Mus musculus: one gene and its partner. The protein of the gene in region 1 purifies or fractionates together with the protein of each later gene. This does not show direct contact. Links are inferred from orthologs where the notes say so. Each region holds a gene or a part of one and is shown on either strand. Other genes may lie near its edges.

Evidence for each region. The genes of interacting proteins can lie anywhere in the genome.
Region 2: the proteins of Med21 (region 1) and Med12l purify together in Homo sapiens (affinity purification with mass spectrometry; 3 studies listed by BioGRID and IntAct, counting the BioPlex papers as one, with this or other methods). This does not show direct contact. The link is inferred for Mus musculus from reciprocal best matches to the Homo sapiens genes MED21 and MED12L.

Annotation. Positions count from the first base shown.
Region 1 is NC_000072.6:146,641,379-146,645,416, forward strand, and holds the start of Med21 (mediator of RNA polymerase II transcription subunit 21), read left to right. Parts: upstream 1-1,200; 5' UTR 1,201-1,232; coding exon 1,233-1,274; intron 1,275-4,038. UniProt on the Homo sapiens protein: Component of the Mediator complex, a coactivator involved in the regulated transcription of nearly all RNA polymerase II-dependent genes.
Region 2 is NC_000069.6:59,005,728-59,009,831, forward strand, and holds the start of Med12l (mediator of RNA polymerase II transcription subunit 12-like protein), read left to right. Parts: upstream 1-1,250; 5' UTR 1,251-1,274; coding exon 1,275-1,373; intron 1,374-4,104. UniProt on the Homo sapiens protein: May be a component of the Mediator complex, a coactivator involved in the regulated transcription of nearly all RNA polymerase II-dependent genes.

The DNA.
Region 1 (4,038 bases):
AAACCACATCTGAGGAGTCTTCTCTGGTGGATACCTCCCAACCTCCTCATCTGTTATGTCCTCCTCTGTTAGGATTCACCAAGAAGGCTCTCTCACGATGACAGTCCACCTTGATAGTGGACTTCCCAGCCTCCAGAACACTGTAGGGAGTAAACGTTCTTTGTAATTGCTTGTCTGTGCTATTCAGTTGTAGCAACAAAAAACAGGCTCACATACCCACCCACCTCCAACTCCAGAAATGATCATCTTGGAAACTATGATAAACAGTTTGTCTGAGTTCCACAAACCAGGTATTTGCAGATTCAGGACTCACTTCCCATCAGAATATCCCCAGGCTAACAGAAATGACCTTTCTGCTATCACCCTTCACACGGAAAACTGTCAGGAAGCCCCAGTTCTAAATTTACATTCTGAAGCTGATCTTTCTTAAGATCGAACCTGCCTAGACCGGGCGTGGTGGCGCACACCTTTAATCCCAGCACTTGGAAGGCAGAGGCAGGCAGATTTCTGCGTTCGAGGCCAGCCTGGTCTACAGAGTTTGCACCTCCTACCTTCAAATGCTCTTCTTCCTCCTTTTCACTTTACTTATCACCCGTTCCTCATCACAGAGCTGTTTAATGCTTTCCATTTCCCCCAGGCACTCCCACTCAGAATTAAAGCACTAATCTAGTCTCCAGTTGGGTAAGCACCTCCTGCCCCAAACTAATTAGCCACCCTTTTCTAGCCATTTTGATTTCCTGGAGAATGTTAATTTCTCGAATTTAAATGTTGTGAATGGCGGGCTGCGAGTATGCTTTGTGGTATACCTGCAAAGTAAAAGCAAAGGAAAACAAGTGTTCCAGATAAACAAAACAAAGAAACGAACGAACAAAAACAAAACCCCTCACAAACAAAACACATTCCAGGCCAGCCAGGACTACACCGTGAGGCATAGCCTCGTCAGAGCTAACAGACAGAATGGAGGAAGCACCTTCCCTTCACAGGCTCGGTCCAGCGTAAACGCGAACCCGTAGCAGCTCAGCCTGCACGCGTCCCTCCTCCCCCACACCAGCCCTGGATCCCACCCGCCTGACGTCAGCAGGCCCGCAGGCTGGCCCCGCCCCTCCCCGGCAGCATGCTTCCTTAACCACGCCCCTCAAGGAGGAAGGCCTGTGATTGGTCCGGAGGCGTCATAAATTGGCCAATCGCTCGCGCTCTAGCAGCTTTTGCGCACCCTTGCGTGCGTGGTGAACATGGCGGATAGACTCACTCAGCTGCAGGACGCTGTGAACTCGGTGAGGGCTTTCCTCTGCTCGCCAGCCTTGCTTTCCTGACGCGGAGAGAGGAGGAAGGGGCGAGGCAAGGCCCCGGGGAGCGCGCAGATTGAGGTCGCCGCGGGCGGCGCACCCCGTGAGGCCTGGGTCTCACGTAGTCCACAGGGCGGGGTCTGAGGAGACGGGCCTGTCCTGAGGGGAGACCGGGCCGGGCGGCTTGTCCTGAGGGGAGGCGGGACCCGGGGGCCTGTCCTGAGGGGAGGTCGGAGCCGCCAGTCTCTCCTAAGGGAGGTGGGACCCGGGGGTCTCTCCTGAGAGGATGTGGGACCTGCCAGTCTCTCCTGAGAGCCATGGGACCCGGGGCCTCTGGTGAGGTGCGAACTTGAGGAAGGGAACGAGTGGCCGCTAATAAGGAGGGGACCCGACGACGGCCTCTCCTGAGGAGACTCAAGGTCTGCGGCCAGGTAGCCAGGAAGCGAGTACTCAAGTTCCAGGGATGCTTCTAGAACTTCCTTTGTGGGGCAGCACACGCCTAAGCACTTTTGTGTGTATCCCTCCCTCGCGTTTCAATTTCAACCTGCCAAACGGATTTCTCCTGTGATTCCACCTCTGAGGCTGAGACAGGAGGATTGCAGCGAGCTCCGGGCCAGCCTGAGCTCCAGTTTGATAGCCCATCTCAGAAAACAAAACACAAAAGACCACAACAAAGTGTTGAGTGTTTGTAGGTTGGTGTATGAGTGACCAGGGCGTGAGCTTGCCTTGCTTTCTGTAGGCCTTCACTCCTCCCTCCGCTCTTGGCGACTCCAGCACCAATGGTTGGAGAGTAACGTCTAGAAGAGGCCAGATCCTGGCCTCTCCGTTTCTTTGCATTTGTTTAAGTCTGCTTTACGATCTTCCCTAAGAGGCTCTTATAGGTGGAGTGAAGCTCTTACAGCACAGTACCACAGAACAGTGAATGTACACAAGAGGGATTTTTGTTTTGTTTTGAGATGGTCTCACTGTGTAGCTCTGGCTGACCTGCACACTGTGGAGACCAGATTGGCGTTAAAAACAAAAAAAAAAAACAGCCCAGTAATCAAAATCTACAACAAAAGCTCCTGAAAACTGCTAGCTTCTCTAACTTTGTCGCCTCTGGCTGTTATTCTGGCTTAATTGTACATGAATGGAAAACTAAATACTGAGCCTGGAATGGTGACCCACATCTTTAATTCCTGTAATCCCAGCACTTGGGAGGCAGAGGCAGGCGGATTTCTGAATTCAAGGCCACCTGGTCTACAGAGTGAGTTCCAGGAGAGCCAGGGCTACACAGAGAAACCCTGTCTCGAAAAAAAAAAACCAAACCAAAACAACAACAACAAAAATAGTGCAACAGTTTTCCATTGGTAATTAAAATCTCTTAGTGTCATTCTGGTTGTAGTTTGATGTAGAAGAGCCTACACAGTATATGCCTGCTGAAAAAAAAAATCTAAATACCTAGTTCTCTGGACAGTGTTTTTTAAACAGGAATGTTATAACAAGGCTTCTTGGTAATTCATCATTTTTGAGAGTACATTGAAATTGTGTATCTACTAGTGGGAAGACTAGTCTATTCTGTGTAAATAAAGTAGTTTTAAAGTTGAGGGGCTATCTCTTAAATGTTGATGAAGTCACCAAGGTACATTCTGTTTTGCAAAGATTCCCTGGGCTGCCAGCCAACCTCTCCCAAGAAAATACTTTTGTAATTTTACAAGTCTTTCTTGTTTTAATTTAAATTTTTTTGGTTTTACAAATCTTAATAATGCTGTGTAGAAGCTCATCTCCTAAGTATGCATATTCATGTAGGTCCTATAGTTAGGATGTTAAGGATACGATATAGTCTTAGGAGTACTGATAATTGAGTTAATATGTATGCCTACTGTGTCTACAGGGAATGTGTTTACAAAGAACTATTCTAGGAGCTTAGAAAGATGTCATAAACTCAAGAGACTTTTAGATGATGCAAACAAACCCCATATGTGGCTAGGGAGTTACAGTGGATTGTTTTCAGCTCTTAAGAGCTAAAGTAGATTGGAACACAGAGCAATATTAACATTTGTTCTGCCATCTGGAAACTCCATGTTCATTTCTATAATATATACAGTACTTGTCATGGAGTTGGTTTTTCAATAAATATTTTTGAACAGATTAATAATGGGTCTTGAATGAATTTACAAGACAGAACACTAGCTGCTGTATTGAGTAAGCTTCATTTATATTTTTCTTTCTTATGACAGTGCTGCTAAATAGAACACTGCAACTTAGAAAGCCAACCAGGTTAGCTTTTCAATGACAATTCAGAATTTTACATTGAAATAATGACAGCAAAACAATAGAAATGTTTATTGATTGGAAATACTAAATGAGGCTTCAGGGGTTAGGACTAGTGAGAACATATGTTTAGTTTGTGAATGGTGTGAACTTATATTCTCAAATTACTTAAATGCAATGCTTTTTAGTTTTGCTTCTTTTGAGGCAGAATCTTATGTAACTCTGGCTGGCCTAGAACTGTCCACATACTCCAGGATGGCCTCAAACTGACAGATCTGAGTGCCTCTGTCTCTGCCTCTCTTATGCTGAGATCCATCATGCCCCAAAAACAAACAAATTTAAGCAACAAGGTTACAACTTGAATCTTGAAGAATACATTTCTGATAATTTACAGTTTAAAAAAATTTTTGTTTTTCATGTAGTACAAACTGGCCTCAAACTCCCTTACATAGTTGAGGATGGCGACCTTGAACTGCTCTTCCTTGCCTCCATCTGATCA
Region 2 (4,104 bases), on another chromosome or scaffold:
CGCTCTGCGGCTGCGAAAACCCGGAGAGGCAGATGGGAGCGCTCGAGGCGCTCGCAGCCAACTCCTCCGCGGTCCGGCCGCCAAGCTGGGCATGCTCAGTGCGGCCGCCGCGCCGCCGTCCGCCAACTCGGGAGCTCGCGCTCCCGGGCCGTGGGGGCGAGAACGCTGGCGACAGCGAGCGACGCCCCCAGGCAGCCGCAAACTTCGCGGCGTCCGCAGTCTGGCGAGCCAGACACCTCGCAACGTCAAATCCAATTCCCCAACCCTAACGGAGCGATGGAGGCTGCGGCCGCCAGGGCGTCCCGGCTGCCCGCCCCTGCCTAGCCGCTAGCTAGGGACCAACAGGTAAACTGTTGGGGGTGGGGATCAGGGCGCGCGACGTCTAGGGGTGGCCCGGGGAGCCCAGTCGCCCGTGCTCCCGATGTGTCCGTCGGTGCTCGCGGCCACCTCTGCTCACCCCCTCCCCAGCCCCGGGAGGGCCAGCAAAGGGTTAAGTCGGCCCCGCGCCACAGCGAGCGCGGCCCCCTCCAGCCGCCGCGGCCGCTGCAGCCGGCAGCCAGCAAAGCGCCCCGGCGCCGCCGAGGGGACCCGCGCAGCTCGTGCACTGGCTGAACCCGGAGGCACCGGCCTCGCTCGGCGTCCGCATCCTCGCCTCTCGCGGCCTCTCTCCCTCCGCGTCCGCGGTTCCGTGCCCGGGCGGCGGGTCCTCCGAGTGCAAAGCTGCGAGCGCCGGGCATGGCGAGCCAGGAAGTGGGCGCGGGCCGCTGCGCAGCACCTCGCGTGCCCGAGGACGCCTAGCTCTCGGCGGGCACCGAGCCTCCCGCCTAGGCGCCAAGAAAAGTTTTTTCCCCCTTTATGCCCCTCCCCCACCCCAGCCTGGGCCCCTCTGGGTGGGTTTGGGTTCATTGGTGAAGAAAGTCACACGTTCCCATCATCTGCTCCTCCCCCTGGGGACCGAGTGGGGGTGGCGGGAGGCCGTGGCCGCGGCGGACCCTGGCCGACCTCCAGCCCGGGCGCCGCCGCCGCCGCCCGCGGAGCAGGCGTCCCGGGGCTCGGCGCAGCGGGGTGCCCACGAAGGCGGCCCCCCTGAGCGCGTCTGCGCGCGGGCAGCGGCCGTCTCCAACCTGCTTTTTCTCCTGCCTGCAGCGCCACGGCGAGCCAGAGTGGAGGGAAGAGGGAGTCTGTCTGCAAAGTGCTGCTCCCTGGTGCTCAGAGGCGGCTGCTCCAGCTCCAGCTCCAACTCTCATTCATTTCGCCGGTTAACATGAGAGATCATGGCCGCCTTCGGGCTTCTCAGCTATGAGCAGAGACCGCTGAAGCGCCCGCGGCTCGGGCCGCCCGACGTCTACCCGCAGGACCCTAAGCAGAAGGAGGTAAGGGCGCCGGCGGCCTCCGCGGTTGTGCGGCGCTCCGCAGCGCTGACCCGGGGCCAAGCTGGCCCGGCGGGCGTCCCCGGCGCTGCGGGGGAAGGGCTGGGGAGGGGATCGGAGGCGGGGCCCGGGTTAGGGTATCAGGGACCCTGAGCTACTGAGACCCGGAGCCTGCCAACCCCCGCGCTCCGCTGGGCGATCGCTCTGCGGGGGGCTGGGTCGCTTCCCGGTTGTCGGGCCTTGCACTGCGCCGCTGGGCGCTTTACCGCTTCTACCTCGCTAGCATCTTCTTGCTCGCTTTCCTCCGTTTTTGCTTGTTTTATTGTTTTTTACTCCGTCGCTTCGATAAATCCTCGTAAACTTTTTGACAAATGCTGGAATGCAGTACATCGGACACTGTGGTCTTGCGTTTTGCGCCAGCGGTATGGGTACGGATGGGGGAGGGACCCTTATCACATCCTCCACTTTGGAATGGAAGTCGTTTTTTAGCGAGGTGATCATATATTTGGCTCGGTGAATGTACCTCTGTATCTCTCGCCTTTAAAAAAAATTTAAGAAAACAATATTGAAGAGAAACACCGAATTTTGTTTCTAGAGAGACAAATTGGCTTTCCCGGAGGCTGTTTTGTATGTGTAAAAGCAGACAAGTTATCTTAGAAAGGAATAGCTTCCAGATTACTTATTTTCTTTGAATGAAATTAAATGGAGAAACCTTGGCTGTTGCACATACAGTAGCTTCAGTGGTTATTGTAAGCTATGTAGGTATGTGTCAGGAGTTAAAAAGTAATTATGTAACAACTCTCCAGCCATAATAATGATCGCCCTTGGCTATACAATTTGCCCAGAGACTTGCCTATCTTCTCTTTTTTGGTTCCCCTGCTCCCCAGCTGTCCTTTGAGACTTTGCCAGCTACAGCCCACCCATCTTCTCTTTTCTATAGTTAAGCATGAAACTGCCATGTATTCTAGTCTTCCCGTGAGCCTGGAAAGTCTATAAAAGTTTGCGTGTCCCCTGATTTCACAAGAGGACTTTGCAAGTCAGAGTTCTTTCAGGCTTCTATTTTGATAAATGTATCCGTCTCTTTAGTAGAGGCTCAGCCCAGACTGGCTAATAATGTGTCTGAGAAATCATCACGAGCAATTCCTTTTGGCCTTCTCCCATTGAGTTTGAGGGTCAGGGAAGTCGATTGAAGATGGCTGGGAAGTTTACAGGTGGGCAGCATGTGCTTATGCAGCTCCTAAGGTCTGGAAAGAAGAGAGACTCTAAAGACCAAGTGTAAAGAAAGGTGATTTTAAAAGTTTTGGCAGGGATAGGGACATTCGTTTCTTAACTTTTCTCATCTTATAATTAGTGCCTCACTAGGTCTTTCTGGAGAGTGACGTAGCTTCGGGTTGGTGGCTTGGATTAGCATGTGTGCTTGTTTATTTAGCATTTATTTTTACATATGACAGTCACTTCAGGACTTGGATCCTGGAAAGAATAATTTTGGACATTGGGTCACTTTCTAGAAATCTAAAGCTGGAAGAAGTGCCTGTAGAGGGTACTTTTTTCCTACTTTGATTTGAGGAGATAGGGTGATTGCAGCTCAGAAGCGCTTGCTTTATCTGAAGTGTGTGGTGAATAAGCACACACTGGGTTATCAGCGCAGCCCTCCTTCAGCCCTGCACTGTGTCCCGGTGACTTGTGCTGCTGCTGCTGCTCCTCGGATTCACTTCCCCCCAGGCGACCGATATTCTATCTCTCTTGAGGAGAGAGTTATATGTGGCTGTAGTCAAATTTGGGTACAATATGGAACAGGTGCTCGGCTGTTTTTTTGGTTGGTGGCGAGCAGATTCCTAAGCTTCAGTTATTTATGTATTATACTACTCCCTCAAATTTCCACCCTGTCCTTGTACAACCAGTAATTTGATCCTTTTATTAACTGTAGATAAACTGTATTGTGTTTTCTGGACAGTCTTGATTTTTTGCAGTTTACTGCAATATGAATATGATTGTATAAGACATCACCCCCCCACACATATATGTTATTATATGCAAACACAAGATATATAATTACACATATTTGAAGGAGGCCAAATCTATACCATTATCCATCAGAGAGCTGTGGTGATTTGTTTGAGAACGGTCACACTGATCTACCCAAGCTGATGTTGAACTCAAGATCTTGCTTCCATTTCTAAAGTCCTGAGATCCTAGACCTGTACCACCACATTGAGATAAAGTATTGATTGAATGGAGGAAGTCCAGGCTTCCGGTTTGACCGTGGTGAGTTTGAATTATGGTTGAGCATCTTAGTGGTTGGCAAATTTGGATCACGCCTCTCTTGTTAACTAGTTTAGTTGTGCTCGTCAGGAAAAACAAGGTAAAACTTTATAATTTTCCTCATGTTTGGGTAAGAAAATCCCTATTCTTCACTGAACCAAAGTTGCCTGATTGCTACCGATGAAGTTTTTATTGATAAGAAGTGGTAAGAGCGTTCTGGAAATAGGGTCCCAGGCTACGGAGTGGAATCCTTCGGGAGGACTCTGTGGAGACAGAATGAAAAGATCCGTTAACCTGCCTCATCAGTTGATCGAATTCATTCACGAGCTTTGCAGTGCCCTGGTCTCCCTTTAGACTTTATTAAATGTGGTGGTAGAGTACTTTGTCATCTGCACATAGACTGCCCTCCCCTTTAAAAATGGGGAATCAGAAAAGCAGGGGTCTTTCTCGAGTCTTCTTCCTCTACAGCTTA